Linked DNA regions of Stegostoma tigrinum. The protein of the gene in region 1 purifies or fractionates together with the protein of each later gene. This does not show direct contact. Links are inferred from orthologs where the notes say so. Each region holds a gene or a part of one and is shown on either strand. Other genes may lie near its edges. The genes, in order: dock1 and elmo1.

Region 1 (16,570 bases):
CCCATGTTATATCCAGACTAACCCAACCTTGAGATACATCCAGGTTCTTATAGCAAATCCAGGGAAGTGAATCAGTCCTACGAATTTCCTACAGTTATCAGGCTTGGGCCATCAGAAGACACCATTCCAATCTCTGGGGTGATTTACCATCATACGCCATCTTGAAGTAAGATCTCACGTTAACTTATTGGTAAATGAACAAGATGAAGTCATAGTTACTTACAATGATCCTCCCTCCAACTAAGTAAGTGAACAATGAGGCTATATTTTCCAAATATCATTTTTCTTAAAATATCATGCAGTTTCATGAATGCTTTGACAACCATGGGAACCTAATTAAACGTACATCTTGAAAATTAAAAATGGTTCTACACCCTTATCGTGAGTCTCCAAACGCTACTGATGACTCCACCACTCCTGTCCACTTCTATTCCTTTTGACCTCTCCCACACGCTTCCATCAGACAAAAGATATGATGTGAAAACACAGACTAACAAATTCAAGAACAGCTTCTTTCCAGCTGTTATCAAACTTATGAAGGGACCTCTCATAGTAGACCTGATGTTTTTTGCACTTCCTCTGTAGCTGTAACATAATATTCCGCATTTATATTCTATTACCTTGGTGTAATCATGTAAGGTATGACTTTCCTGGATACCATACAGAACAATACTTTTGACTGTATCTTGGTACACATGACAATAAAAACCCAAAACGGGCTCCAACCCCAGGTCACTTCCAAAATGCCCTTCTTTATTCCCATCCACCCAAGTACCATGAGAAGTTAGAAGTTTCAGATATCTGTCCCTTCCAAGCTCAGCCTCCCCTGCAAACTTCTTATGCTCAGCAATTTTAACCTCCATCATCATGCTCTCTCCCCAAGCAATTCTTTTTAAAGCCACCTAAATCACTGCCACAATGGAAACTCTTCAACCCACACTGTCAAACACTTTCTTGATCTCCAAATAAAGCAGTTTGTCTATTTCCATGAAGACTTTAAGTGACTAAAACAAAGCCATCTCTGATCAACTCAGATCCTTGTATAACTCCACCTGCATTCCCCTTCCAACTCTAAGTTCTTTGGTGTCCACGCCTGCAAAAAGACTTCCCTCCAATTCATTTAGAACTGCACTCTCAAAATTCCATATGTCCAGCCTTTGACCCTTCAATCAACACAACACCACAGAAGTCAATTTCTTTAACCGTACCCACTGAACCCATGATGCCACAAATGCAACTAAAACTATGAAACAGAGATAATGGGAACTGCAGATGCTGGAGATTCCAAGATAATAAAATGTGAGGCTGGATGAACACAGCAGGCCAAGCAGCATCTCAGGAGCACAAAAGCTGACGTTTCGGGCCTAGACCCTTCATCAGAGAGGGGGATGGGGGGAGGGAACTGGAATAAATAGGGAGAGAGGGGGAGGCGGACCAAAGATGGAGAGTAAAGAAGATAGGTGGAGAGGGTGTAGGTGGGGAGGTAGGGAGGGGATAGGTCAGTCCAGGGAAGACGGACAGGTCAAGGAGGTGGGATGAGGTTAGTAGGTAGCTGGGGGTGCGGCTTGGGGTGGGAGGAAGGGATGGGTGAGAGGAAGAACCGGTTAGGGAGGCAGAGACAGGTTGGACTGGTTTTGGGATGCAGTGGGTGGGGGGGGGGGAAGAGCTGGGCTGGTTGTGTGGTGCAGTGGGGGGAGGGGATGAACTGGGCTGGTTTAGGGATGCAGTAGGGGAAGGGGAGATTTTGAAACTGGTGAAGTCCACATTGATACCATATGGCTGCAGGGTTCCCAGGCGGAATATGAGTTGCTGTTCCTGCAACCTTCGGGTGGCATCATTGTGGCAGTGCAGGAGGCCCATGATGGACATGTCATCAAGAGAATGGGAGGGGGAGTGGAAATGGTTTGCGACTGGGAGGTGCAGTTGTTTGTTGCGAACTGAGCAGAGGTGTTCTGCAAAGCGGTCCCCAAGCCTCCGCTTGGTTTCCCCAATGTAGAGGAAGCCGCACCGGGTACAGTGGATGCAGTATACCACATTGGCAGATGTGCAGGTGATAGTTCTTTAAGGACCGCAACTTTCCCCCCACGGTGATCGAGAACGCCCTTGACCGCGTCTCCCGCATTTCCCGCGACACATCCCTCACACCCCGCCCCCGCCACAACCGCCCCAAGAGGATCCCCCTCGTTCTCACACACCACCCTACCAACCTCCGGATACAACGCATTATCCTCCGACACTTCCGCCATTTACAATCCGACCCCACCACCCAAGACATTTTTCCATCCCCTCCCCTGTCTGCTTTCCGGAGAGACCACTCTCTCCGTGACTCCCTTGTTCGCTCCACACTGCCCTCCAACCCCACCACACCCGGCACCTTCCCCTGCAACCGCAGGAAATGCTACACTTGTCCCCACACCTCCTCCCTCACCCCCATCCCAGGCCCCAAGATGACATTCCACATTAAGCTAGGTTCACCTGCACATCTGCCAATGTGGTATACTGCATCCACTGTACCCGGTGCGGCTTCCTCTACATTGGGGAAACCAAGCGGAGGCTTGGGGACCGCTTTGCAGAACACCTCCGCTCGGTTCGCAACAAACAACTGCACCTCCCAGTCGCAAACCATTTCCACTCCCCCTCCCATTCTCTTGATGACATGTCCATCATGGGCCTCCTGCACTGCCACAATGATGCCACCCGAAGGTTGCAGGAACAGCAACTCATATTCCGCCTGGGAACCCTGCAGCCATATGGTATCAATGTGGACTTCACCAGTTTCAAAATCTCCCCTTCCCCTACTGCATCCTTAAACCAGCCCAGTTCATCCCCTCCCCCCACTGCACCACACAACCAGCCCAGCTCTTCCCCCCCACCCACTGCATCCCAAAACCAGTCCAACCTGTCTCTGCCTCCCTAACCGGTTCTTCCTCTCACCCATCCCTTCCTCCCACCCCAAGCCGCACCCCCAGCTACCTACTAACCTCATCCCACCTCCTTGACCTGTCCGTCTTCCCTGGACTGACCTATCCCCTCCCTACCTCCCCACCTACACCCTCTCCACCTATCTTCTTTACTCTCCATCTTCGGTCCGCCTCCCCCTCTCTCCCTATTTATTCCAGTTCCCTCCCCCCATCCCCCTCTCTGATGAAGGGTCTAGGCCCGAAACGTCAGCTTTTGTGCTCCTGAGATGCTGCTTGGCCTGCTGTGTTCATCCAGCCTCACATTTTATTAAAACTATGAAACTCTCACTTTCATCTATTTTTTAGTCTCTTCTAATCAACCTGTTCAGGAATGTTATTACACACCTCTGATGCAAGTGGGCCTTGACCTGGGCCTCCCACTCCAGGGGTAGAGACACTACCATTGCACTACAAGGGATCACTTTGGTTATTGCTCCAATATAGGCCTCAACTCCATTCCCTTAAGTCTAAGGGATGTGAATGTGAACTGACATGGCACAAAACTCGTTTAACAATTCACTGCTAGATTTGGCTGGAACATATGAGTTAGTACTGGGTCCAGCTTCTTCAGCTAAAACTGCTTACTTCCAAAGCATTTTGAATGCAAGTATAACCTCCTGGCTTCAGAATTAATGGTTATAAATCCCTTTAACTTACTTCCAACAAGTAGCAATAAGATTTTCTAAACCTTGAAAGATCATGAAAGATTGAGAACATCCAACCAGCTATCTCTGCGACTTTCCTCCCTTCCATTGCCTTCCTGGGCCTTCAAATTCCATTTATTTTCAAAAATCCTTATACATTTTGCTGCTGCTCAATCTGTGCCCACTATTCACATGGCTCCCTGCTGAAATCCTCAAACCAAGTCTTCACCCCTGCCAAGTGTGCCAAACAAAAAAAAGACCAGTCATAAATGGCATTCAACATGACTGATAAAGTAATCTACCCCTTCACTCAAAACATTAACTATTTCTCTTTCCACAGACGCCGTCAGATCTCTACGTTTCTCTAGCATTGGGTATTTGGTACAGATTTTCCGCATTAGTGGGACTTGTAGCATTTTCCCATTCCCTTTTGTCTGTTGTGAACAACCTTTGACAGTTATCCAGACCATCCTCGTCCAATATCTCTCCATCATCTAACACCATGGCTGACTCCATTCCCAGCTATCAAATTCTAGAATCAAAAGAATCTATCCTTGCACACCTTACTATTTCTCATACATCTGTCCCTTTGAGATGATCAGAAAACACCAGCAATCACTCACCTGTTACAACTCACTGGGGTAGTACTTTGGAAATCAAGCCCTGCCATTCCAAAAGTTGTCACTAGTATTAGAGGGCGTATAACATATGTAAAATTTCCCCCCAGATTACCACAGAGCAGATTTCTGTACTAAACAAGACAACTGACATATTAAAATTAATTTGACTCTAGCCACAAGTAAACAGTTATAAACCATCAGCATAATTCCAATTAAAACTCTAACACACACACACACACAGGATGGGTTCATGGGCAGAGTAAGGAGAAAACAAAGTCATCTTTGTCCCAGGTACTGTTGTTAAGATGATTCCTGATTTTCCTGCTTGCTATCAATACACTCGTCTTCTTTCTCTGATTGCTTCCACTGGTTGCCTTGTGTTCTCAACCACTCAAAGTCTGACTTACCAGTTAAAAATCACATTGTACAACAATTGTTGCAGACATCATAAATTGGTTTTCTTCAAATCTACAGCAAGAGTTTTGACTGTAAAAAAGACTACTCCCAAGTTAGGTACAAGCTGAATATTTCACTCTTGCCCTCTATCTCTCTATAACTTGTTCCTAGCTCCAAGCTGTTCAGTTACCCACAAATCAAGCTCAGTTGTTGGCAGGCCAAAAGTCTCCATCATTAACAATTGCCATTAGTCAGTCAATCAATACTGATAAGTGAGTGTCCCAAAAGTTCACAAAAACAGGAAGTTGCTCCAATTTTGGAATCAAGAACAGAAGAACAGTATGTTATTTTAATGGAGAAAAAGTGCAAAAGCCTGCAAATCAATGTGACTAGAAGGTTTTTTTTTAATGAAAGCATGTACATTGACGCAAAAAGTAGTCAGAAGGCTAATGGAATGTTGACCCTTATTTCAAGGAGTATTGGAGTACAAGAGCAGGGCAGGTTTTTTTTATTATTATCATTTCATTGAAAGCAGTACAAAGAAGGGTCACTAAGATGATCCAAGCATGGAGGGAATGTCTTATGAGCAAAAGTTACCCAAGCTTAGATGAATGAGCAGTGATCTCATTTCAACATATAGAATTCAGCACGACTTGTTTTCAAAATGGTTATTTCCCCTCATGGGAGAGTCTCAGACCAGAAGGCAGAAGGGGCATCAATTTAAGACTGAGGTGACCACAACTTTTTCTCTCAATCTTTGGAACTCCTTAACACATAGCTGTGGGAGCAGACTCCTGACGCACATTTAAGGCTGAGATAGACAGTGGGGAAATCATTGGCACAGGAAAATGTAGGAAAGTTGGATTAGCCATGAAAGGCGAAACAGGGTCGAGGACCCAAACATCCTACTCCTGTTCCAATTTCTTATGGTCTAACCGACTTCTTTTTGCCAGCAAAAGTTGCATTAGTACACTCACTCAGCTCCAAATCATCTGTAACTCTACAGTTACTGCTTGTACAAGAAGTTGTTTGCAATGATACCTGGCATGGGTATCAGGTTATTTGCTTTCCAAAATTACATCCACTCTTTCACCACTTTTAAAACAGTTCTCTCATTTCTGTCCACAGTTTAAATACAAAAAAAGTCACAAAATATAAAGACACAGTCCTTACACTTGCTAACGATACCCAAATCAGTCTCTCAATCTCTCAACTGTCAATAAATCAGAGTGCTTGCTTGTGTAACTTCTAGTAGCAGATAAGCAAAAAGATCCTCTAAGTACAAAGCCATTTTCTTCATTATAAACTTCAGTCTCCAGCTGATAATTACAGTAAAGATAATGAAAGTATGGCAGGGTTAGTGTCTACAAACTTGAGTTGCTAAAGCAGTAAAAGGAAAGCATCAAAATCACTGTATATTAATGCACTTAAGAATCTCAACAAAGCAGTTATGTTGTCAGCTCAAAAAGAAATAGAGATTTTCTTTTGATAGCCATAGGAGATGTTGCTGCATGATGAGAAAGGCTTGAATCTGAATATTGAAAGATACGTTCAAGGGTCAAAAGACAAAGTTAGAAAAAGATGATGGGGTTGCTCTGTAAATTAAGATTACTAGCATCCAGATAAATGGATAAAGCTTTTCCTTATGTTTGCACTCCCCCTTTTGCCAATTATTTAAATACATGTCCTCTACCTCTTTATCCTTTCCCCAAATGAAATTTAGCACACTCAATCTTTTCTGCCACCTTCAGTGATTTACGCATTTTTAGAAGATGCGATCTTCATTTTTTTTTTAATTGTCAAGACTAGTTTTTATTTATTATAATTTTTTTTAAATTGAATTCAAATTTCATAATCTGCCATGATGGGATTCCAGCCTGTGAACCTCAAGGCATCAGCCTAGAGCTCTGGGTTACCGGTCATTATTTCACTAATTCATGATTTAAAAAGTTTGTAACATTGCAGTAACAGAAACTTAGTACAGGATTCTGGGCAGTCATTGTGCTTTAAAGGGTATCCTTAAAATTGTTCCTCCCTTAACTGCAAATTAAAGCTGAACTAGCAACAGTGAGATATGTTATATGTACATATCGTACTTTTCAATATGCATTAGAAGACTGACGCCAAAGTAAGGACAAAAACTATAAAGTAGATTGAAAGAATAAAAAGGCAATCCGAAATACAGTATATTTTAACAAAGGACTAAAATAATGCTTGAAGTGAATGAAACATGGATTGTAGGTATGGCTAATCAATAACCAATTGGTAATAAAAAGGCTGGGATAACAAATTGTGGGGCTGGATGAACACTGCAGGCCAAGCAGCATCTTAGGAGCACAAAAGCTGACGTTTCGGGCCTCGACCCTTTATCCCCAAAACCTCAGCTTTTGTGCTCCTAAGATGCTGCTTGGCCTGCTGTGTTCATAAGATGCTGCTTGTTCATCCAGTCCCAGACTTCGTGATTTTGGCTTCTCCAGCATCTGCACATCCCATTATCTCTGATCACAGAATTAAAAAAGGCTTTTAGTTTTGAGGTAATGAACCACATTTGCAGGAAAGTCTTCATTTACGAACTGACATAAATTGGTAGGGATCTTTTCCAAAAGTTGATGAGGCCATGCTCAATCAAAGCAGTGTGTGCAATATGTCAAGTGATACGATTATAATGTGCCAATTCTCAGTACACAAAACCACTGAGGTTAGGCATGTGCACGGAAAAATGCTTATTTTACAAACATTGCAATATGTTTTTAAAACATTAGTGGTAACCCCCTAGTGATAAGTGGGTGCTGCAGCATGTTATGACACTTATGTTGCAAGTTAATCACACCTCTTCTAAACAATTTGGAAGGCTTACAGTTCAGATTACCAATACTTTATTAGTAAAAGTGAAGATTTAATAAACAGCAATTCCAATAAAAGTCGCAGCTAAGTACAGTGGATGCACTTAGCCATTATACCCGAGGTTCGACGAACTGGGAGTAACTACAGCTAACTTTGCGACATTTTAAGATATTCGCAGATTTACAGTTCAACATTTTTTAAAAAGTATTTCAAATTAGGGAGGCTGCAGTGTAGGAGTGAATTCATGGCCGTCTGTTGAACAACATCCCAAAACTAAACCACTGGGCACGGCCTTAGAACTAGGCGCGCCCCAAACCCAAACTGTTTCATTTGACGAGAGTAGAGAGAGGAAAAAGATTTCCAGGAACTATTCATCCTAATGAGTTACTGTATCGTAAAAGAAATAGTCATTTCAAAGGTTAAAGTATTTCTTGGACTGGGCTGTGGTCAGAAAAGAAGCAGATAAAGAGGCCCGTGTGTTGGGATATGCGGAATGAAAAGGAAAAAGAAACTGCAAAAAAAATTAGCATTAGTTTTAGCTGCAAGATCTTCTATTCAGGACTGGCTGGAAACAGTCACTCACTGTCACTCACCCACTCCATATTTCTCCTTTTTGCTGGGAATCCAGCGCGTCATGGTTGCGTTTAAACTTCCTTGAACTTGCGAGTGTTTTTTTTCCACCAGTTTTTCCTCATTTCTCCTGGAAACTCCAGGCCGCCATTTTCCACAGGAGGAGAGAGAAAGTTCCAGTCATGTGTCTCGAGCGTCACCGATCATCAAACTCCCAACGGTCACAGAGTTTCCCAAAAAAAACTTCCCAGCCAGTCACCGCCTCGATGTCCGAGCTCCTGCCGGTATGTTCCCCTGCCCAAAGCCTTGTTACAGAGTTACTTAGTTAGTTAGCACAGTTTATTTTTCTTCCAAGACAAACCAGCTTCCAGTGGCGCGCTACCCACACACCAGGGATTGTTCGGGAGTGTGAGACGGTTATGCAATCCGTTTTGCCTTTTGTTCGGGAAGTTTGCACTGCGCCTTTGACAATCCCACTTGCCTGTTCTTGTTACTTATCTCGAATCGTCTGCACGGCCGCAGGCCGTTCGGCCCAACCAGTCCATGCTTCACTCCAGTCCATTCCTTCCACCTTTCCTCACTTAATTCTTATACTTAAAACAACATAAGTATTCAGAATCCTGAAATTATAACAGGAAGTCCCCAGCAGTTTGGCAGATCTGTAGAAAGAGATACGTATAAGTAACATTTCAGGTCTCTGCGACCTTTCATTAAACGGAGTTTGAAACGCTGTTTTTCACTGCCGCTTCCAGATCAGCTGAGCATTTTCTGTTTGATTCAATCCAGCGCCCCTTTATTTTCTTTTAATATACTGAACCACTTTCCCTAAAATATGCCTTTAGTGCATATTCTGAAGAAGGGTCCCGACCCGAAACGCCAGCTTTCCTGCTCCACTGGTGCTGCCCGGCCTGCTAGGTTCCTTCAGCTCAACACCTTGTTACCCGACAGTATATTATTTGCTTTACACACTCCATGTGGTAGCAAGTTCCACGTTCTCGCGTCTAGGTAAACAAGTTTCTTTCAAATTGCCTTTCTTTTGGTCACTCACATGCATGACCTCGAACTCTTCCTCAAAGGTTTTGTGTCTACAAACCTTCTGAGAGTTGAGAGTCATAGTAGAGCTGTACAGCATGGAAACAGACTGCCCGGTCCAACTTGTTTTTTGTTTGAAAATAAAATACTTTATTCATAGAATATACAAAAAAAAACACATTTATACTGGGTTAGACTGCCTAGTCCAACTCATCCAGGCTAACCAGATATCCTAAATAAATCTAGACCTGTTTGGGCCATATCCCTCTAAACCCTTCCTATTCAATATGCCTTCTAAATGTTGTAACTGTGCCAGCCCCCACCACTTCCTCTAGCAGCTGATTCAATACACGCACCACTGTGTGAAAAAAAAATGCCCCTTAGATGCCTTTTAAATCTTTCCCCTCTTCATCTTAAACCTATGCCTCCAAGTTTTGGACTCATGCCCCCTGGGGAAAAGGCCTTGTCCATTCACCCTATCCGTGCCCCCGACGATTTTGTAAGGTCACTTCTGAGCCTCCGAGACCTGTTTATTAGGTCATGCTTCAGCCTTTTCCTTTCAAGAGAAAATAAATTTTCTGTTAATCCCATTATCATCAAACAAAATAACTCTTGACAATAGTAGATTTTTTTCCCCCTCAAATGGCCTAAAGCTAACAGAAAACTAAACCAAAAAAGGAAAAATTTATGAACATAAATAATACTATTCACACCCATCCACATTGCCCTCCAATACCTTGGGTGCATGCCAGAGAAAGCCTGTCGACAGATACTCCACAGCCACCTAGGTACAGATAAGCCTGAAAGAAATAGGCAGGCAACAAATGCAACTGCTCCCAAAGGAGTGCCTATTTTGTATAAAACCAAGAACTGCAGATGTTGGAAATCTGAAATCACCAAAAAAAAAAGCAGGAGTGGAGAGAAAGCAGTGTCAATATTTCAGAAGCTCAGTGGGCCATTTAGCCTATTCTTATGCATGTGTTTCTTATGTTCTTAGGAGATGAACTACTTGGATAAATATCCATCAACACAGTCTATTCTATCCATGCTCCCAACGTGGCCTCCTCTGCATCAGTGAGACCAAGTGGACATTTAGGGACCATTTTGTAGAGCATCTGCTCTGTGTACATGACAAACAACAACACCTTCTGATCAACAACAATTTTAGCTCCCACTCCCACCCGATGTCCATCTGGGCCTCCTCCAGTGTCACAGTGACACCACCTGCAAACTGAAGGATCCTATAGCTCAATACCCTAAATGTGGAATTCACCAGTTTTAAAATCTCCTCATCCTATGTCCAACCCTCCCTCTCACCCCCACTTCCTTAACCTGACACCATCCATCCATTTACTCTCCCGGCTATCTGCCCCTCCCACCTCACTGACCAATCCCCACCGCCCCCTACCTGCATTCACCTATCACCAACCTACTTACCTTGCCCAGCCCCACGCCTCCTTATTTATTTCTGAGCTCCCTTCCTCCTCCCTATTTCTGAAGAAGAGTCCTGACCCAAAACATTAACTTTCCTGCTCCTCTGATGCTGTGCTCCTCCAGTTCCACTGTCATATTGTAAAGTAAAGTAACATTTGTGAATTTTGATAATTGTGAGAATTTTAATTGTGCAGAGTGACCGGTGTGAATTTGGCATTGGCAGTTGCAAGTTTGTGTGGATTTATCTGATATATTTTAGTAAGATAGCTATGTAAAATAAATTACTAAAATGTGCTCACAAATGAATTGCTGTTTTTCTTGGTCCTAATGAGTCAGATTTTAAATGTGATTTGTATTAAATGCATTTAAGATAATTGCAAAGAACTTTAAACTTTCTCCAAGTGAGTTTTTAATATCTGGATCATTCTAGCATGGCATTGAATTAGAATCCTAAAAGGCTGAACAAATGGAAGATATCCTAGAGAAGAAGAAATGGGTAATCAACAGCAATGTAATGACAATGAAGATAAGCATCCAAGACATTGACCAAGTGTGTCAGTCAAGAGAGAATAACACACCAAAAGTCATGGAGCATGAATAGCCAGAGTGACTCCCATTGAAACCTTCCATGGTGAATGAGCTGCTTTTAGACTTCTTTTAATTGTTTAACCTATTATTGGTAATATGGCAAGTTGTCCCCACATAATGCAAAGGACAAGTGGATGTTATAGTTTTGCAGTTCTTGACGTTTTCTGCACTGGATAAATATCTAGTTATCCTTCTGAGTGGACGCATGGTAATTTTCAGTGAAACCACTTTAAAGTATCTGCATATTACATGTCAGGGGAAAAAAGCAGCAGTGAAATCATGCACTAACCTTGTATGGTGCTACAATTATGTAGCTGTTAAAGCTGCAAACAGAATGTCAAATCCAAGTCTTAGTTAGTGAAATCTACCATGATAGTCCAGCAGATTGAGAGGAGCCCTGAGGAATCTATTTGAACCTCACATCATTGGTAACCCTTTAATATTGCTGAGTGGGCAGAGACTGAAAAGTCTATGCTTAAGCAGCCTGGCAAATGGCATCTAAACTGTCAAAAAGGCCATTTGAGCAGCTTTTCTTATCATACCACGGTCATCTGAGAGACAGAACATGTGAATTGCACATTGTACATCTCCCAATATGAATGGCAATGTGCTCCCTTGAAAAACCGATGGACATAATTAAGAATTCCCTCCTGAGATGTGTGGGACTGTCACTGATTCCACTGTCACTCAAGGTGGAGTTTGATGTGGAATGATATGTGATGCCAGTCCCTGACTTAAACCTTGCATGCCATATGATGTGTCTGTGCTGTCCACAGTAAGTTGTGAATCCTTGGCTGCAATCCAGAACTTCATGCTTCAAAGATTTGTGATGGCTGAAACAATCTGCAGTTAAGAATTTGGTTGCTCATCAGAGATATGTAGCCTGGTTAGAGATGAAAAAACTGCTTTCATCCTTGATATGTTTGAAGTGGCTAATTATCTCTCACGTAAATGCCATTTGACCACGTCTAACAGTCAAAATGTCAATACCACAGCAGACATTTTAAGAGTGCAAGTGACAAATGTGCAATGTTATCTACAATAATGTGTCACCCGAGCCACCTTTGTGGCCTCAATATTTTTTTTTCCTCTCCATCCCACTTAATCTCAGTGCAGTCCCAGATTTTCTCCACTATAGGAGTAGAAGTCTGATCTTCAGTAACCCCCACTGGTCTTGACCCTTTCAGCTTAATTATGACAAAAATTTCGTACAATAAGACAAAGGAAGGAATTATGAAAATGTATGGATGGAGCAGTGAATGGTGATGCAGGAGAGATGGTGAGGTATCCTAAGTGATAAAATAGGAAGTGCCAAGATTGGAAGTATCAGCAGATTGGGAGGATGAGCCATTGAATAGATAAAATGCATACAATAGTGACAGTTGCAATCTATGTGCTGTGGTGTGATCCATGACAGATTTAGAATGAATGGCGGCCTTGTGAGTGTGAGGTAACAGTGACAAAATGCTGGCACGCACTTTTGTGAAAGACAGAAGATTATGAACATTCATCCTACTATGCAGTGTTCTATTTAACTTGGGAAACAAGTTAACTGGTGTTATTCCCTGCATCCAGGCTAGCTGGATCTGATGTCATGTTCTCCTTTGGATGCCTAACGTAAAGGAAAAGTCCTCTTCTCCCCAGCCCTGCCTATAACCAACTCCAGGTCCTTGTTCACAAAGTGGAAAGCATCAATGATCTAGACACATGCACTTAGGTTCCTTTACTCCTGCAAGTCCCTGATAGAGTTCAGCCAGTATCTGGTGGCAACCTTTGCTTGGGACAATTACTTTTACTCCCCATAATACAGTGCTATCCTCGAGAGTGACCTGGTCTCGCTGGATCAAGAAAGATTTCATTTCTGGTTGTGAGGGCCCTTTTGTTTCCCCATCATTATCAGCTGTTTTAATTTTGCCAGGACCAGATCTTTTTGCATCCACTGTCTAATACTTTCATTCCCAACAATGATGGGAAGGGTGTCCAGAAAATTTATTTTGATTGGTTCTGATTTATGTGTTACCAAGCAATTTAACTGTTCCAAGCCAGATATAGGTGGGTTTTCCAGGGCATGCACTCTCCTGGAAGTCATGTTATGAGCTCTTTTACTAAATTCAGGCCTACTGGGCTCTTTTGCTGCCTCGAGTCTGCATATCAGCAGCAATTACAGTAGCTTCCTGGCAAGGATACTGAAGAAAACATTAACCATTTGGCAAGGCTTGTCTTTGTTTTGGGATTTTGCTATGAGCCAATATAGAGTCCCTCTGTTGAAGATGTGGCCTGAATGAGGCGATGTAATTTATTTTCCTCAAGTGGTGTCCCCCAAGCTCAGTCAGCCTGGCAAGGCTGAATACTTCCACTGGCTTGCCTTGTAGCTCATATGTTCCACTTGCCACATTTTCGAATGACAAAGCTTGTTTGAGTTCCAGTTGGGCTTCAGCTAGTAGTTGCTTCTGTACAGTTACATCATTGATCCCACATACCAAATGATCATCCAGCATCTAATTAATGGTTAAACCAAAGTCACATGCCTCTGCCAGTCATCTTAACCTCGTCAAAAATGTCAAATCGTACTAAACTCAGCTGATGACAACCTCATACATCCTAGTTGCTTTGGAACAGGGCTCCCGGTGAAACCTGAATGAAATTCAAGTGTGAACATCAACAATTAGAGAGAAAGAGTAAGCAATTAAGACTGTTGTGGTGCAGTAGTAGTGTTCCTACCTCTGGACTAGCAGGCCTGGTTTCAAGTCTCACCTGCACCAGGTGTGTAGTAACAACTCTTAAAAAAGTTGAATACAAAATAAAGGATAAAAAGAGTAAGCAACTGTTCTTGCTGCTGTCAGATTTTCAGTAACTAAGGATTTTTGAACAGACAACTGAGAGCAGGTGCTTCTATGCCAACTAGAAGAAAAGGATAACAGAGTGCTAGTGAGAATGAATTCCTTTCTTCAAAGGAATAAAGATTTTTGTGAAGTGTTGGAGTTTATTATCAGAACATGGAGTGGAAGGGATTTTGTTTAGAAGGACGCTGGAAGACTTACTCTAGCAGGGCAGGGAGAAGGAAGTCTATTCATTTGCCAATAGATATGTAAGACCTAAGGCCAGTTATTGGCTGAAAACTTGCCAAAACATATTTATGTGGCAGGGGATTTCAGTTATTTTAAATAACACCTTTTCAGTGTTTAATTTGTTAGTTCCCTCCTGAGTAATATTTATTTGCTTCATAGATAGTAGGAACTGCAGATGCTGGAGAATCTGAGATAACAAGGTGTAGGGCTGGATGAACACAGCAGGCCAAGCAGCATCAGAGGAGCAGGAAGGCTGACATTTTGGTTAGTCCATTTGTTCCAGAAGAGTTTTAAAAATGAAATCTTACATGATTATTTGCCTTAGTCACTGGGAAATTTATTTTTCTTTTAAAAGTTATTGGTTTGTACAGAGGATTGTAATACCTTGATCTGTTTCCTGAGATTTAAAGAGCAGGTATATTTCAAGCTGAAACTATATAAGGTACACCATTGATGCAATCAGTCCTTATTTCTTAATTCTTCCTTCACTTCTCTCATTCAGAACCACACACATTTACTTTATTTTCTCAAGGTTTTATTTAATATGTTTGATACTTCCCTTTTTAATATTTTGAACTAATTTTGATAAACAGTCAAATAAATGTTGCTAATGATTATGATTGATAACATCGTCATTTTACTGACTTAAAGGATCCTGGAAAAATCTGGGCGCTTTGTGTTCCAAGACTGCATAATTACAAACTACTACACTTATACGAGAAGAAAAATCACCATTTTCTGAATAACTAATGATGGATAACATATATGTGGCTGTCATATCCTAACGTCAAAAAGTCCACTTGCATTGTCTACATGCCTCCTGAACACAAACCTCAAAAATATGAGATTGAGAAAGGTTGTCATATGATTCTGAGAAGACCTCACAAACAGTAACACTCCCAAATATCAGTTTGATTTATCATACCTGCCTCATAATATTGTTTGTATACATGTGTGATTAATTGTGAGTCATTTTCTACATGCTAAGAATGTGGACACAACTGGAAGGACCTGTATTTATTGTTTGTCCCTAATAATTAAGTTACCTGATAATCTACTTCAGAGACTACTGCATTTATGTGAGAATGGAATTATAGATAAGCTGTAGTGGGTAATATCAGATCTTCAGGGCATTTGCAAACAGTTTAAATTTTTGCCAATGTAGTTCCTTCCAGTTACAGTGGCCAACTGTAACTAACTGTAATACCAACCGTAAGTGATGGAGAGTAAGAATTAAGAAAAGTAGCCAATATTTTCAAAAAGGGGAATGGTAGAGGCAGGTACAATTACAACATTTAAAATACATTTGTACAGGTACATGGATAGGAACGATTAAGAGGGGTATGGGCCAAATACAGGAAAATTGGACTAGTTCATTTAGGAAACCTGGTTGGCATGGACAAGTTTGGTCGAAGAGTCTGTTTCAGTGCTGCATGACTCTATGACAGGATGTTTCACTAAAAAGCTGCCTCTTTTTATTATTCATTGTCATATTCATAATATAATCACTAAAAAAACTACAATTTAACAAAAGAAAAGGTAACCTCCACCTCCTTATAATAGCTCATAATCGGTAATAGATTTGTTATTCATACCTCTGTAGTCCTAACAATGCACCAGAAGCATCACAGTTCCACCAGTGCCAGATACCACAGCAGTGAATAGATTTAGGTCTCAGGGTGGGAATGGGAATGGAAACCCAGAAATGGTAGAGATAGAATATAGGAAAATGATGGGACAGCCTGATGGAGTTGGGAATGGGAAGTTGGTAGGCAAACTTTGGAATATGCTCTTAATCTAAAAAGGGGGACAATTATGGAACACCCTCACCACTCCACTCTTCATGCCTAAGTTCCAAACAGGGTGTTCTGCCAGGCTTCCTCCACATCCCTGAACTATAACCTAATGGACCATAATGTTGCTGTCTTGTTAGAGAGATAACTCATGATGGTTTCGTCTGAGGATTGCTGCACCTCAAGTAAAGGGATAAGTCGAAAAGGAGAGTCCTTTGTTGTAACCATAACCATTGTGGGAACTGAACCCATGCTGTTGGCAGCACTCTGCGTTCTAAACTAGCCATCCAGCCTACTGAGCCAACCCAGTCCCATTCTATACTCTGTTTGAAGAGGATTTTCGATACAGACCAGGACCTTTCCTAATATACTTTGCCAATACTTCACACTAATTTGGTTCTTCTGTAAAATTTCTAAGGACATCATCTAAAATTTGTCAGTGTAATACTGCTAAATGGAAGACCTCATGGGAGACATCAGCAGAATGTGAGTGACTGACCATGGGAATACTGAGGGAGATTCTTTGATGTAAAGAAAGAATAGGAGAAGGTGATGAGACCAAGCAGAGCAACACCATCTGCTGGAGGAGATGAGGAACAAGAGAATTCTCAAACAGAGGGC
Region 2 (16,757 bases), on another chromosome or scaffold:
AAGAGTTGGAATAAAGGGGACATTTTCAGGATGACAACATGTGACTAGCAAAGTGCTGTAGCGATTAGTGATGGGACCACAATTATTTACAAAATAAATGATTTGGATGATGAAAGTGAATGTACTTTCATGAAGTTTGGTAAAGAGACAAAAATGATTGTGAAGGCAAATAATGACAATGGTACAAAGGGTTTATAGAGGGATATGGACAATGAGGGAAAATGTGAAATGCATTTGAAAGGAACATTAGAAGAGCTGAATATTATTTAAATGGAAAAGACTGGAGAAAGCTGCAGTATTGGGGAATTTGGGATCCATTTTCATTAATCACAAAAAGCCAGCATCCACTATAAAGAGGAAGGCAAATGGACTGTTGACTTTTATTTCAAAGCTAATGGAGAATAAAATAGGGAGATCTTATTAAAACTATAGAAGGCCCTGGTCAAACCATATCTGGAATACCGTGAACAATTTTGGTACCCTTGTCTAAGGAACAATATTACTGGCATTGGAGGCAGTTCAGTGGAAGTTCACCACATTGATTCCATGAAGGGTGGGATTATCTTATGAGGGGTGGCTGAGAAAGTTGGGCTTGTACTTATTTGAGTTTAATCGAATGACAGGGACCTTATTGAAATGTAAGATTGTTGAGGGACTTGAGAGGATAGATGCAGAGAGGTTGTTCTTTTTGTGGGAGAGTCTAGGCCCAGAGACCGTCATTTCAGAACAAGGGGTCACCCAATTATAGCAGATGAGGAGTCTTTTTCCTCAGAGAGGGTAGTCAATCTGTGAAATTATTTACCACAAATGGGTATAGAGACTGGAGCTTTAAAAATCTGTCTATCTTGAATATAGTTAATCAGTCAGGGGATCAAGGTTTTTGGGGATAAGGCATGAAAATAGAGTTGAGGAATATCAGATCAGCCATGATCTCATAGAAAGGTTAAAAAGGCTCAATGAGTCTTACAGCCTACTTCTGCTCCTCCACCTTATGATCTTGTTAATTATGTACTTCACTATGACACAAAAGTTTTCATTAATACATATCCCTGAAAAACAATTTGAAAATCCCTTTAATATGAGCATACACCCATGCACCCCATTATATTGCCCCAAACTTAACATTCATAATATAATGAGCACTTACAATAATCAGGAATTCAGAATTTTAAAAATCCAAAGTTTACTTATTCAATAATTGTTCACAAAACATCCAGACGCATGGCTGGATGTGTAGTATTGCAGTGCTCATAAACAACACTGATCTCAACCCCACCTCCAACTGAGTACATGCTTATTTTGACACATTAGTGGAAGAGAGCCCTGGGTCTTAAAAATTGTCTTGAGGAATTTTATCACAAAACACTCTGAATCAACTTGTGGCCTACTTCCATGCTAGTGCAGATCTCTAGCTTTGAATGTGCACTTTTTAAGGTTAATTCTTGGCAGGTCTGAGTTCCAATGTGATGCATGTCTCACCAGTTACCCTCCATGCTGTTGCTTTCTGGTCATTCAATTCCTATCAATATGATCAGGACCTGATCTGCGATTTTAACCAGAAGTCTCACTGCGGGAATAATGATAACTTCTACTTCATGTTAGAACTGCTTGAAGTGGATTGTGGGCCAAAGATTTGTTTCTACTAGTTGAGATGAGATTTGGGGGAATGGTGTTGCCAATGGAAATACAGGTCAACCTGAGAGCTTGTTGTATACCTCGTGTTTTTGGTTAAATGGAGCTCAAAATACATCCAGGCCTTCAATGCATATGTTATCTGCTTTGTCACTTCATCACATATTGAAGTAGCCATAATTTTAAACAAATTTATTAACGCACATTTATTAACAAATATGTAATCATAGTTTTATGTCTCTATGACGATGAACAATCTGTGTTCATGCACAGTGAATGTAGTGCAACCCAATTCACTGATGCCTTCAGCAGAATGCTGATCACTATTGAACATTAATCAGATGGAAACTGGTGTCAAAAGAGTTTCATGATGAAAATGCAAATCAGGCAATTTTTAGCTTGTCAGTGTATTTGAAGAGCAAATGATCTGTTTTTCAGGAGGGGAGCTGCTAATGTTTTTCCTCTGCATCCTTGTTTTGCAGGTGTGGATCTTTCATGGGATATGGTTCCATGGGTATCAATGATTTATAGCAACTTGCTTGATTGCCTAGTCTTAATCTGTGAATTTTTACATTTTGTGCCAACGGGTTACTACTGGAATTGCAGTGATATAGTAAAATGTTTAGAAATTAATAGATCTTGATATTAACGCACTTCACAATGTGTGACAGAAGAAAGCAATGGGGTAGAAATGTTTCAAGAGTGAAATCATTGGCTCTGCAAATGAAAAAGCAGTTTGAATTAAACTGTCTCTTTGCACTTGTGCACACTGGTGGCTTGCAGGACTGGAAGTTATTTTTGCATTAGTGATTCTGAATTGGACACTAACTTTGTGCAAAGGTTCCAGCAGTGTACTGTACAACATTTTAATTGGCTCCATGCCTTTATATAGCTCCTGTCACAACCTCAGAACATCACGAAATGTGTTGTGGTCAATTAAGTACTTTTAAGTGATGTTAATTCTAATAATGTAGGAAATGTGGCAGACAATTGTTACAGAGCAATGTACCACATATGGTAGTGAAGTATGTAACTAGATACTTTGTTTAGCTCCCTTTCCGATCTCAATAGTCTTGTTACATCATTGTCTTTCTCCCTCTTGGTTCAGATATTTGTAGTCTTCATTTAATCATCTCCTTCAGCAAGCTTTCATGTCTTTGAATATAAGCAATCTGAGGAAGGGTCACCGGACCCGAAACATTAACTCTGTTTTTCCCTTCACAGATGCTGCCAGACCTGCTGAGCTTTTCTAGCAATTTCTGTTTTGTTTCCTGATTTACAGGATCTGCAGTTCTTTCATTTTTTATTGGGCAATCTGACTGTTGCCTTTTCTTGATAATGTTCACTGATGATCTTTCCTCCTTCACCATCTTTAGAACTTTTTCAGTGCTGTCCTTGCAAACAATCGTATTTCAAAACCTTATCATATCTGAATGCTGCTTTCATAGGTCCATTCTTCAGACCCAGACATCAAGACAGTCTGATATCAGCCTTGAGAAAACTACTTTAAGATACTCCCTGAGATGTTACTTCTTTTGTGGGATGTGGAAGTCATTGGTGAGGCCTTCATATTTTGTTTGCTCTTAGTTGTATAGATATCGCTCCCTAAAGGAAGTTAGTCAACCAGGGATAGTAAGAACTCCCGTTGCTGGAGTCAGAGATAACACAGTGTGGAGCTGGAGGCCAGGCGGCATCAGAGGAGCAGGAAAGTTGACATTTCGGATCGGGACCCTTCTTCAGAAAACCAAGTGAGTTTTTAACGACAATTGGCAAGAGGTCATCAATAGGTTAGCTTTTGATTCCAGATTATTACTGAAGGCATAATGCACCTTCTGCCGTACCAGGCTTTGAACACATCCCCAGAATGTTAGCCTGGGTTCCATGAATTACAGAATACAGTGACATTACCAATATGCTGCCACCTCTGATACTATTTATATTTAAATTAAATGGTCCCCTTGTTCGAGTCATACTTAACATCAAGGAAAGTTGGAAGTCACATTGGCACATGGGAGTCCAGAGTATTCTGTGATATCTGCGCACTTTGAGTTCTTCTGGCTATTGCGAGTAGTGAAATCAGTCTAACATCGAATGCAATGCATACCATAGAAGTATGATAGGGCGTTAATGAGGTGAGTTTGGTACGATAGTGCAAGAATATTCACAAGGTGTCATGGAAACAAAACTCATTGTGCCTATATATGGCAAGACTCACAACTATGTGCTGAATTGGATAAAAAATTGGCTTGAAGGTCAAAGACAGAGGGTGGTGGTAGATGGTTGCTTTTCAGACCGGAGACCCATGACCAGCAGTGTGCCACAATGATCACTGCTGGGTCCACTTTTTGTCATGTGTATAAATGATTTGGATGTGAAGATAGGGGGCCTGATTAATAAGTTTGCAGATGACACCAAAATAGATGGTGTAGTGGAGTACAACAGGACTTTGATCAGATGGGCCAAAAGACAGAGGTGTGGCAGATGGAGTTTAATTTAGATAAAGGTAAGGTGTTGCACTTTGGTAAGGCAAATCAGAGCAGGACTCATACAGTTAATGGTAGGTCCCTGGGGTGCAGGTGTATAGGATGCTGAAGATGACATTTGGCACACTTGTCTTCATTGCTCAGAAGATTGAGTATAGGAATTGAGATGTCATGTTGTGGCTGTACAAGACATTGGTGAGGCCAGTTTTAGAACACTACATACAATTGTCCTCGCCCTTCTATAGGAAGGATGTTGTTAAACTTGAAAGGGTGCAGAAAATATTGACAAGGATTTTGCCAGCTCTGGAGGGTTTGAGTTATCGGGTGAGGCTGAATAGGCTGGGGCTTTTTTTTTCCTGGGGCATCAGTGGCTGCTGGGTGACTTCATAGAGGTTTATAAAATCATGAGGGTCATGGATAGGTGTATAGTGAATGTCTTTTCCCTCGGGTGGTGGAGTCCAAAACTAGAGAGCATAGGATTATAGCGAGAGGAGAAAGATTTAAAAACGACCTGAGGGGTAACCTTTTCACATAAAGGGTGGCTCTTGTATGGTATGAGCTCCCAGAGGAAGTGGTAGAGGCTGGTACAATTACAACATTTAAAAGACATCTGGGTGGCTATATGAATAGGAAGGGTTTAGGGGGACATGGGCCAAATGTTGGAAAATGGGACTAGGCCAGTTTGGGATGTCTGGTTGGCGCAGGTCAGTTGGATTGAAGAGTTTGTTTCTGCACTGTATAACTCCATGACTTCTATCTACAGGTCATCTTTACAGCTGTAGATTCATCGTCTCTCTTTGCTGTCTTCGAACACATGGCTCTTGTATCTTAACTTATTCCTGTTGGTTGGACAGCTTCTCAGTCAAGGGTCACCATATCATATCATCCAGTGTTTTTTATTATCCAAGAATTCTGTAGTTAATCCATCTACAATTGCTGCATATTTCGAACAGTAATTTTCAAACCTTCTTGAAAACAATTACAGAAACTGTTGGCATTTCAATGATAATATATATTTCCCGTACAGTTACAGCTTTTGGACTAAAGGCTGTCACAGTGAGCAATTTTCAATATTTCTGGGTAGGTGCACCATTCTAGCTATACCAGAACAGCTTGGCAAGGATGACAACTAATTCTGTAGCACAAGTCTTTAGAATTACAGATAACAAAGTGTGGAGCTGGATGAACACAGCAGGCCAAGCAGCATCTCAGGAGCACAAAAACTGACGTTTCGGGCCTAGATCCTTCCTCTGAGGAAAACCCGAAACGTCAGCTTTTGTGCTCCTGAGATGCTGCTTGGCCTGCTGTGTTCATCCAGCTCCACACTTTGTTATCTTGGATTCTCCAGCATCTGCAGTTCCCATTATCACTCTTTAGAATTACTGCCTAGTTGTTTTTAAGAATAGCTTTTGCCTGATCCATTGACCAAATCTTGTCTGAATATCCACTTGTGTGATGGAATTTAAAATCAAATGTTGTCTGACAATAATTCAGTAAGATACTTTGGGATGTTTTACTTCCTTAAAGAGGCTTGATAAATACAAATTGTTGATATGTGTTGGCAGAATTCAATTCATGAAAATTGACAAAAGGAAGATATCGCATATGGCCCCAAAAGTTACATGAGATCTGGTTTCTGTCCAGGCCCAGAATGAGGAACTACATGCGATATAAATGATTGGAGCCAATGCCCTGAGCTCAGGCAGCCACACCCCCTTGACTACCGTTCATGAAAAATGTCCCTATATGTGAGAGACAAAATTTGTCAGGAGCCGTCCCTCTGACCAAAAATTTGACTCTGTCATGCTCGTTCAATCACAGGATCTTTCTGGTCTGCATTCACTGTTGATAAGTGCACTAGTGAGCCTATCATGAGCATCAAAAGCGGGACAAAACCAGCCTTTGTTAGGAGATCCAGCTTGGCGGATAAGTAGCTGTGGTGCATGAATCCCTGCCTTGCTCTCACTGCAGCTTTGGGCCTCAGAAATTTTTATCAGTGCAGCTCTGGGCCTTATCGATTGCTGTCAATGTGGCTCCAGCATTTGGAATTGGTGTTAATGTAGCTCAAGTTCTCACCTACTGGTGTGAGAATGGTTCTAGCCCTCAGGGTTTGCTGTCAGCATGGCTCAAGACCTTCAGCAGTATTTGTGTGTGTGTCTCCAGGCCTGTCGATTGCTGTCAGAGTGGCTTAGGGAGTTTGGAGTTGCCGTCAGTGCACCTATGGGGCCTTGGGGATGGTGACAGTTACTGTCTTGTATTGAGATGACATTTCATCAAAACAGCTTTACTGAAAGTGATATGATCCCAGCTAATGGTAATACTGGACAAGTCAAACTCTAGAGTGCAATCTGACGTAATAGACCATAGTTTTACTTTTATAATTTGGTTATCATCTTGTTCAGGCACTGAATATGACACTGATAATATTCACAAGAGGCTGCCAATGTACTTTTAACAAAAGGACATTAAACTTATTACACACAAGTACACAATTTTACATGATATAAGAAATATTTGAAATGGTCTTATTACAAATATCAAAAAAATTCAACTCTTTTACCATTAACAATAATCTTTCAAATATTGAAATCTCGCTTTAATGATCCTTGTACCATTGGCACAACTGCTCTTGACTTTGTTTCAGTGAACTTCAACTTTCATTTCAAACTATCTTCTTTATTTAATGTTACTTCAGGAGTCAGATCTCTTATTTCTCTAGATGGATTATTTAAACTCCTCTTCCATAGCTCCGTGTTTCTGGAAATTCTCGTTCTTACATCGAACAAGTCAAGCTTTTTTTGTCCATTTCTGGCTATTCGAAAGACTGCTAGATTTCACTGCTAATTGTACAGGTTCTTTCTCCCTGAGCGACTTGTTTTTCTCTGAAAGATACCTGCACATTCATTTACCTCCTGGACGGTTCCACCTTTCTGAAAATAATCTGTTTCTCTTTCCTCATATATCATAGGGTAGTCAACTGCCTGTTCTCCCTTTCTTTTATACTTGTTTTTCTAAAGCACTGGACTCGGGTTTTTTTTAATTTAAAACCTAGTATAACAAATATCCGGATATCCTGGTACCTCTCATAGAATTCAAAAGTGAAACGAAGTCCCTCCCTTCTCAACCCACACAATGTAGAAATGCAGATCTAACTTATACATGGTTCCGTTCACTTTAGAAAGGCCGGTTTCAAATAATATCAGATTGCAAACATTCATCACAAAGAGACATCTTAACCTGAAATATTAACTCTGCTTCTTCAAGCTGCCTGAACCGCTGAGTATTTTCGGCATTTTTGTTTTAGATTTCCACTATTTCCAGGATTTTGCTTTTATAAGAGAATACATCAACTTGTATAAGATGTACATGAAGATGGAAAGGCTAGAAAACTTTTGAGAAACACAATGGTCCCAATGCAATAAAAGGGAAATACCACAAAATATGACAAACTTCATACCGTCATTGTGGCTACGCATGTCCAAGACAATATTACTTACTCTAGCAGATAATTTAGAATACTGTTACAGGGGCTGAGGTACGGGACCGGCCCAGAAGTTGCAGAACCCTCACTATTAACCCAGCAGTCCAGCGTCCTTTTCACAAATGGATGCAACGATGCTTTGATAATCCAGGGACGTATTACCAGGGCGAGAAAAGGTTGCCTAACGTAGTGATGAATACTGCATTTAATCACATCTCTTGTTTGGAAAATAAAAGTGCTTCTTAAATGTTGAAACGAGAAACTTATTGACGAGGGTTTTGACTTGAAGGTCCGGTTCTGCTCGCCAGCAGGAGGCGCGGGTGTGTGAAGTGACAAGTCGGCACCGAGCGCCCGGCCGCTGGGGCTGAGACGGTGGAAAAGGCAAGAGCAGCCAGGTCAGTCACTGCCGCTCTCTCTCAATCCTCTTTGAGATCGAGCCATTAATGATAAAAAGCCAAGGCGCTCACAACCCCAGCAAGAAGAGGGACATGTATTGTTAGTAACGATAGTAAACAGGAAAGCAGGTTGGAATGCTTTTTGACTCTCCTCCCACCCCCTCTATGTTTGTATTTGTTTGAATGGTGCTCTGCGCATAGCCCACCCCCGCTCTGCTTTGCCGGTGAATTCTAGTCACTGTAGTTCCAATATGCAGCTGGGGCCCACTTTCTCATCACCAGTTGCCGACAGTCCCAGTGCGAGATCCCCAGCTCTCTCACTCTCTCTTTCTCAATGTGTGATCCGGCGTTACATGACGGCCGCAGCTAATGCTGGAGTCGGAGCCTGGGGCTTTAAAAAGACAGCGGGCCCGAGGTTAGCGGCGTGACTCTGACACACTGGAGTCAACCCCTCGACTCTGCGCGGTGCTTTTTTTTTCAAAAATGTTGAGACTGTGCTTCGTAAATGCTGCCTCAGCAGGAAGGAAATGGCACATCTCTCTCTCTCACACACACACACACCGGTACAAGTAGCCCACCCAGCAAAATGGTGCAGGAAAAGCGGCCGGTGCCTGGGCGATAGGGGCTGAGCTGTTGGGTTTGGAGCCTTGCTCACCCGTAGTCCCGCCCCGGCGAGTAGTCTGAGTGCCTCACCGGACCCAGCCAGCCCGGTCATTGCAAACACCAGGGAGCACAGTTTTGGCTTCACGTTAAATTCGTGCCAGCTCCTGTTTGGAAGCTTCACGCTGCCTGTCCCGTCAGCTTCTCTTTTGTGCAACAGCGGCCTGCTCCCCGCTGGAGTCGGAAAGCATGATAATCCCTGCTCGGCACTGAAAGGATGACCTACACCCAAAACATTTCTCCGTTTTTAAAAAAAAATCCAACATTTCCCTCAAACACACTGAAGCGCGACCGTTATCTTGAAAACACATTTTCCCGAAAGAATTGTTAACTCCAGCAACTTGCAACGCTATAAAAGACGAGTGCAAACTGTAGTCAGATGTTGCAGGAAACATTTATTGCTTGTCAGTTTTTTGAAAACCAGGTTGGGTTTTTTAAAAAGTAGGCCCGTAAACTTAACACTGACCTCCTTGAAATAGACCCTTTTCATTGACAAACAAATTCATTGAAAAGAGAAGCAAAATGATGCCCTGGTTCTCCAAGTGCAACCACTTCAGCTTGAACGGACAAATGTAGTGACTTATTGTCACTTTTAAACAGGTTTCAATTGCATTTGAAGGGAAGTTCTATTAATTGGACGAGGGCTGAGGGTGAAGAGAAGGACCTCTAACCTTAAGAGGTCACAGGTGCTTGTATCTTGTTTTGGTCTCTTGAACAACCCCAATCTTAATTACTCCACCGTTGCTAAACTTTGCCTTTCAGCTAATTCATGAGTAACCTTTGCAGTTCCCTCTGTATGCTTCTATCTTTCTGTCCTTTTAAGAAGCCTTATCAGTTTGACAAAGATTTTGGCTGTAATGCCCTGATATTGTATTGTGTTCAGTGCTCACATTCATTAAGTTCATGTGAAGTGTCTCAGGATGTCTTATTTTGTTAAAGGAATTGTGTAAAATCTTTGTTTCAGTGCCAATCCAAGTCTTCTAAACTATATGGTTGTAGTAACAGTTGATGACTTTGAAGTTTTGGTTAAACCAGTTAAGGCAAATTTTAATGTTGCTGTGAACCTACAGTTCATGGATGTTTGTTCTGCTTGAGGTGTTGAAGTGAGTAGCACCAATCCTGTTCTCACTGTCATGCTGATAAGAATTATTTGTACTGGGCGTATTTAATTTGGAAGTGGATGATGAAGTTGACTCCTGTTAACTCCGTCTCGTGTTTGAAGGGAAGCCTTTTCCCAGACAATCTTCTACCTGACACCCATCAGCTGTTACCCTTTTACTTGCTCTGGAAGGAGCTGATCTTATTAGGAACCAGGCTGTGTCAGAACAACCAGCACTGGGCACTTGGGTACTCTGAGACCAGGTGTGCTGCCTTTCACTCCTTGCTTATCATTTCTGTTTTGATACAGAGTTAACTATGAACGTTTTGTCCAGGAGTGATTAGTTTTTTAATCGGAAGCAATAGGATTCTGTTTGTGAGACAATTTTGGTTAGTACAGAGCTAGATGAATTGATTTTGTTTTTACTCTGCTGCCTTTGGAAATCAGAAAATAATGACAGAAAATGCGAGAAATTGTCATCTGGTCTGGCAGCAGCTGTGGAGAAAGGAACAGTTAACGTTTCAGGTCTGTGGCCATGGAAATAGATTATGTAATCATTGCATCATTCTATTTCATTATTGCTTTCTGAAGAACGGCTAGGCCTGTATCTTTCAGTGTTTAGAAGAGTCAGAGATGGCTTAACTGAAACATATACGACCCTGAGAGGACTTGCCTGGGCAGATGTTGAAGGGATGCTTCCTTTCCTGGGAGAATCTACTTCCGGGGTGTAGTTTAAATTAAGGGGTTGCCTATTTAAGACACAGATAAGGAACTGATTTGTTCTTTGAGGGTTGTGAGTCTTTGGAATTCCCTTCCTCAAAAAGCAGTGGATGCAGAATGTTTAAATATTTTTAAGGCAGATGTAGATAAACTCTGATTACCAAGGGAATGAAAGATTCTTGGAGGTGTGCTGGAATATAGTTAATAGCATTTCAACCATGACTGTGTTGAATGATGGGACAAGTGACCTACTCTATGTGTTTGGAAATTGACAGCTGTGTTTATTGCATTACAACAATGACTACACTTGAAAAATATATCACAAACATTAAAATGCTTTAGGATGCCTTGAGGTTGTGAAACGTACTATACAATAGAAGTTGCCATAATGGAATTGAGTTTAATTCCACAATGTGAAGACCCTACTTAAAGAGGACCATTCTTCTAAGCAGAGTCCTTCCTTTTAAAAGGGGCAACTGTCACTGTTGGGAAAATCTTACTTTTCTTTGACTTCTCAACTTCTTCATTTAAGGGCATATGAAATAATTTCTGTCGTGCCTGGTGCAAGAGAGCTTGTGCACGTTTATTTTTCTAAGCAAGTACTGCTCACATTCTTTAAGGCTGCGTCACCATTCTGTCTCCTTACCCTCATCTCCATCTTCAAAAGTTGACTCAGACTTACGACCTTTGACCAATCCTTTACCTTCTGAACCTTAACCAAAGGTTTGACATCCATTCCTCTCCCAATTATGTGATGTGCCTTACAATCGCTTTTCATTATAGAGTCAGTATTAAATAAATATGAATAGCTGATAAGAGTACAAGTTAAATTTTACAAGCAAAGTGCAAATATTTCAAGTGAATACCTTAACTTTTATTTTAAGAAATAGTGCGTATGTTTTATGTGCCAGGCACAGCAGAATGGAACAAGGCTTCTCAGGTCTTGAATGGTACCTTCGTTTCATCAGTTTTCAAGAATTGGCTTTCATGTGTTGCTAATAAGAGAAATGCACCTCTAAAGCATCCCTGAAGTATCAGCATACAAGACCCTGTGCCAAAATGTCAGACATAATTTGACACTGAGCCAAAATCAAGGAGATATTATAACAGGTTTGGTTTAAAAAAAATGATGTAATGAATATCTGAACGTGGAGGAGGCATGCATTGAGGTTATGAAAAGAAATCTAGCGCTCAAAGCCTAGGCAGCAGTTGGACAAGAGATGTGAGATTACAGAATAGGCCAGAATGGAGGGAATGCAGATAGAGGGGTCTATAGAGGGATTGAGTACAGGAATTGTGATGAAAAGTGTGAGATCTCTTATAAATATCATTTTTAGGGTTTGGATTTCTGAATAGTATAAATGTGTGTTGGTATGTTTGAGAAGGTTTTTTTTAAATGATCAGAAAATACTTCTGGAACAGTGACCTAACCCAGAATGTGTCAGAGAGCATATGACTGTGAACCCATGGAATGTTAATAGAAGAAGATATTTCTATGATTGGATTTGAGGTGGAGTAAGTGCAGAAGGCCACAGGCTTGATTCAATTCAGAATAATTGAGGATTGATATTACTTCAGCAAACCCAAAGATTTAAGGTTCAGGGTAGTTCAGATGATAACTGACAAGGGTCAGAAGCAAGTATAGTTTCTCTTCTAGAAAGGAGTTTTTTTAGAGTGGGTCAAGGAATAAGTTGCCTGAGCAAAAGTTTAATTTGTGCAGCTTCAAAACCTTGAGAGTTTGGTCAAAAAACTGCAGGTTATTTGAAGCTAAGAAAATTTAAATTCTCAGTTTTGAGATTTTATGTAAGAATACTTTCTGCAACCACATGGGAAAGAGCTGTGGGAGTGTGAGGGGCTGTTGGGAATGGAGGAGGAGTAGACTAGGATATCCTGGAGGGAATGGTCCCTGTGGAATGTTGTCAAGGGAGGGGAAAGGAGTATACGTCTGGTGGTAGCATTCTGTTGGATATGACAGGAGTGGTAGCTTACGATCCTTGGGATGTGGAGGCTGGTGAGGTAGTAAGTGAGGACCAGTGGGACCCCAGTTGTTGTGGCGGGGAAGGGAAGGGGTGAGGGCAGAAGTGCGGGAGATTGTTTGCATAAATCACTGAGCTGTGGATGATTCTGTAAACGTGCTGTTCTAAACACTTCCAAAAATCCCTTTCCCAGAGCAGGTGCACGTGTCCTTGTTTGTACTAGTCTCCCAAGTTCTAACCTGCAGGTCTTGATGGTTTGAAATTAATTTGAGTCACACTTATGCACCTGTTTTGGGTAATCTGGCTTGATTGTGTCCTTGTCTGAGGATTTATGTTCAGGTGGGTTTACAAAGAACTGAGTTTAAACCATACGCCCAGTTTATTTTGAGTTGCTTTTGTGAGCCACAGTGCTGCTGACAGAGGTTCAGGTACAGTGTAAGCACAAGCAGCTTGGCTTTTGAGATCTCACTTACAGGTTATTTTTAAACCAATCTGAAAAATGCGTTGTTCAGGGTGAGCTCAGGAAGTGATCAGAACCATTTCTGATTTCCAGGCAGCACCCGCTGAACAGATCAAATAAGAAACAAGTGCAGGAAATAATGTGCAAGTGAAGGTTTATTCATTTTAGATGTAGTTGGAGCTGTGCCATGTAAACTCCTTTTGCAGGACTACACAAGGACAATGGCATTTTGAGAAAAGTTTTGTCATTTATATTGAAATGAGCAATTAGGAGAAAGAAAGCAAGAATCAGTTTAGCATCAAGAGGTGCTGATGGTAGTGATGCTTCTGTGAGATGTGCTGTGGTATAACTTGTTCTCTTTACATTTTGGCAACTTTCAAAATGATTTTTAAGTATTGTAAAACCTTTCCAAGGAGGTAGAATTTGAGAGATTTTTTTACTCGAATTCAGTTACGTGAATCGCCAAACCCCTGGAAAGGGTGGGACGATCAGGCCAAGCTGTCAAATTACTCATCCTTGTCATGTCAAAGTTTCAGACACATTCAATGTTAGTGAAGAACCTCCTCCAAGAATCATCACTTGATATGACTGAGCAGGTTTTGAAAGTCTGTTTGCAGCAGATGCAGGGTGTCACATTTTGCATCATGGTCAATGCAAGCATGCTTTATAGGCTGTAAGCATACACTATGTTTCATTCCTGCATGGTGTTCCCGACTTGTGAAAGTGTCTTTACTCATTGTTCATATCTTGGCCCTCTTTAACTCATTCTTATCCAAGTAGGTAGATGATTAACTAAATACGTAAAGAGTAACTCTGTGTCCATGCACGGACATGAGCAGGAAATTTGTCCCTTCTGTAGTGTAGCATAAGTTGTGCTTAGTTAAGTTTCAGAAAAGAGCTGTCACACAGAATTAGTCAGTTGTTCAAAACTGTAAAGGCCTTCAAGCATTTTGAAGTTTTAGGATATGTAACTGACTTGTGAAATTAAACAGTGAGCAGGTTACCTCTCTGTGTGACAGTACTGTCATGTGAGATGGGACTGGATTCTGACTACATAAACTGTTAAATAAAATAATTGATTTTTATGATTTTTGCTCATCTGGGCAGGTCAGGGGTATTCCATCACACTCCTGACTTGTGTCTAGTGGATGCCAGGGAGTCAGAAGGTGTGTTACTTGTCTCAGAATTCCCATCTTCCAATCTGTTGTTATCCACAGTATTTATGCAGTTAATCCAGTTAAGGTTTTGGTTAATTCTGGCAGTAGGGGAGTTCAACGACAGTAGTTATTGAATGTGTGCTTGCTACTTCTGTATTATGTATGTCACTTGCTACTTATCAGCCCCAGGTTAAACATTGCCCAGGTATTATTTTATGAGAGAGATGTCTGTTTCAGTATCTGAGTTGCAAATTGTAGCTAACACTTTAATGTCAATAACCTATACAGACTTATGAGTTAGGAGTGAGGTAAGCCATTTGACCTTCACCATTCAATAAGATCATGGCTGATCTCTTTGTATTCTGAATTCCATATTCCCATCTATTGCTGATACCTTTTATTCCTTTTCCTTACAAGAACCTGCCTACCTCAGCCTTAAAAATATTCAATGACGACACCTCCATGGTCTTCTGAGTGAACAGTGTTTCAAAGTCTCTTAATCCTCGGAGAGAAAATTTCCCGTCACTTCTGACCTCAAAAAAAACCTAATTTCAAAACATCGCCCCCCCTAGACCCTAATCCTGGACTCCCCACAAGAAGAGTTATTCTTTAATGTCCACCTTGCTAAGACCATTCAGCCTGTTATATACTTCAATCCATTCATCCCTCACTTTTCTAAACTACAAGAAAAATAGACACAGACTGTCTAATCTTTCCTCGTAAGACAATATGCCCTTGTTCAGTTATTTATTTAGTAAACCTCCTCTGAACTGTCCCCAATGCATTTACATCCTTTTTTAAAAGAGGATCATCAAAGCTCGGCAAAGTATTTGTGATGTGGAACCACGGCTCTATGTACGAAACAACCTCGGGTAACTATCTGTGTGGAGTTTGCACATTCTCCCTGTGTTTGCGTGGGTTTCTTCTGGGTGCTCCAGTTTCCTCCCACAGTCCAAAGATGTGCAAGTTAGGTGGATTGGCTATGCTAAATTGCCCATAGTGTTCAGGGATGTTTAGATTAGGTGGGTTATGAGGGATGGGTCCGGGCGGGATGCTCTGAGGGGCAGTGAGGACTTGCAGGGCCGAAGGGCCTGTTTCCACACTGTAGGGGTTCTGTGAACTGAAGCATAATCTCCTTACTTTTGTGTTCTGTTCTTCTCATGATAAAGTATAGCATTCCGTTAGCTGTCTTGAACATTTGCTGTTCTTTGTACCATTCAACTTCTGCAATTGTTCACCATTTAAATAATGCCCTTCTGTGAAAGTGAACAACTTTGCATTTTCCCACATTATACTCATATCTGCCAGAATTTTTGCCTGCCCATATACCTATCTGTATCGGCCTGTATCCTTGTGAGATCATCTTCATAACCTACTTTCCCATTTTTTTTGTCAGCTGCAGATCCCCTCTCTAAGTCTTTGATATCTGTTTTAAGAAGTTGAGGGTCTAGTACAGACTGCTGCCAACCTTGTCATATCCTGTCAATCTGAAAAGACCCAGTTATGAGTACTTTCTGCTTTCTTCTAGCCAGCCAGTCTTGCAAAATCTTTTGAATCAAGTGGTTCAGACCTATTTTGACACACCTCCAGCGTAGATAGGTTTGAAACCCAAACTTTATGTCCCAGTGGCTGGGACATTATCACTGCAACACAAGACCCTCCGTTATATCCATGGTACTATATTGCTTCTTGTACAATGAATTCCTATAAAAGCAAAATACTGCAGATGCTGGAAATCTGAATGAAACACAGAAAATGTCGGTATGACTCTTCTTTGGAACTGTAATACTTGCCATCTCCTTTCATTTCCAAAGAAGAGGCATACTGGACTCGAACTGTTAATTCTATTTTCTCTTCAAGGGTGCCACCAAACAATGAGCTCTTACTTAATGCTCTAGTCTTTTTATGAGAAATCTTGTCAGTTCCTTCTGGAATTCCCTGTACAGTACATTAAGGTTTTTATCCCTCAGTTTGTTATTCCTTCAAACAATTCCGGTAAATTGGATTAACACCAGTTTCCTTTCACAAAACCATGTGGTGATTGTTTCTGATTACATTGATTTTTTTTCCCCTTGTGCCCTTTATGAGCTCCATAATGATCAATTGAAACACGTTCCTGATGAGAAAACGTCAAGCCAACGGCCTAAAGTTGTCTGTTTTCATCCTCACTCACTTCTTGAATAGAGATGTTACGCTTGCTACATTCCGGTCTGATGGTACCGTTTCAAATTTTATGAAAGTTTTGGAAGTTAAAGTAATGCATATACTACTCATTAGCCACATAGTTTGAGATGCTATTATGAAGTCTATCTGGTCCTGGGGACTTGTCAGCTTGCAGCTCCATCAGTTTGTTTAGTACCACATGATTGTAATTTCACCAATTTCATTCAACCAACCTCTCTCTGACAGGTATATATTTCTGTGACATTTTTGTATTGTATATAATGAAGACTGCATCAAAATATTTATTCACTACTTCAGCCATTACTTACCATGTACAAGCAACACCCCATTTTCACCCTCTAGAGGACCCTTTAGAACAGTCCTTTTGCTCGCATATCCTTTTTAGGGGCCGAGAGAAAAATCTTGTTAACTGTTTTTACGTTTTTAGGTAGCTTCCCCGTGGGCTGTAATTTTTGTTCTGATTAACTTTTTAATGATTCTTCACTGTTCTCGGTATACTGAGCAATCATC

Evidence for each region.
Region 2: the proteins of dock1 (region 1) and elmo1 purify together in Homo sapiens (affinity purification with western blotting; 12 studies listed by BioGRID and IntAct, counting the BioPlex papers as one, with this or other methods). This does not show direct contact. The link is inferred for Stegostoma tigrinum from reciprocal best matches to the Homo sapiens genes DOCK1 and ELMO1.

The regions. Positions count from the first base shown.
Region 1 is NC_081373.1:32,524,627-32,541,196, reverse strand, and holds the start of dock1 (dedicator of cytokinesis protein 1), read right to left. Parts: upstream 8,483-16,570; 5' UTR 8,101-8,482; coding exon 8,058-8,100; intron 1-8,057. UniProt on the Homo sapiens protein: Involved in cytoskeletal rearrangements required for phagocytosis of apoptotic cells and cell motility. Along with DOCK1, mediates CRK/CRKL regulation of epithelial and endothelial cell spreading and migration on type IV collagen.
Region 2 is NC_081355.1:27,442,781-27,459,537, forward strand, and holds the start of elmo1 (engulfment and cell motility protein 1), read left to right. Parts: upstream 1-7,860; 5' UTR 7,861-7,991; intron 7,992-7,999; exon of another isoform or gene 8,000-8,120; intron 8,121-16,757. UniProt on the Homo sapiens protein: Involved in cytoskeletal rearrangements required for phagocytosis of apoptotic cells and cell motility. Acts in association with DOCK1 and CRK. Was initially proposed to be required in complex with DOCK1 to activate Rac Rho small GTPases.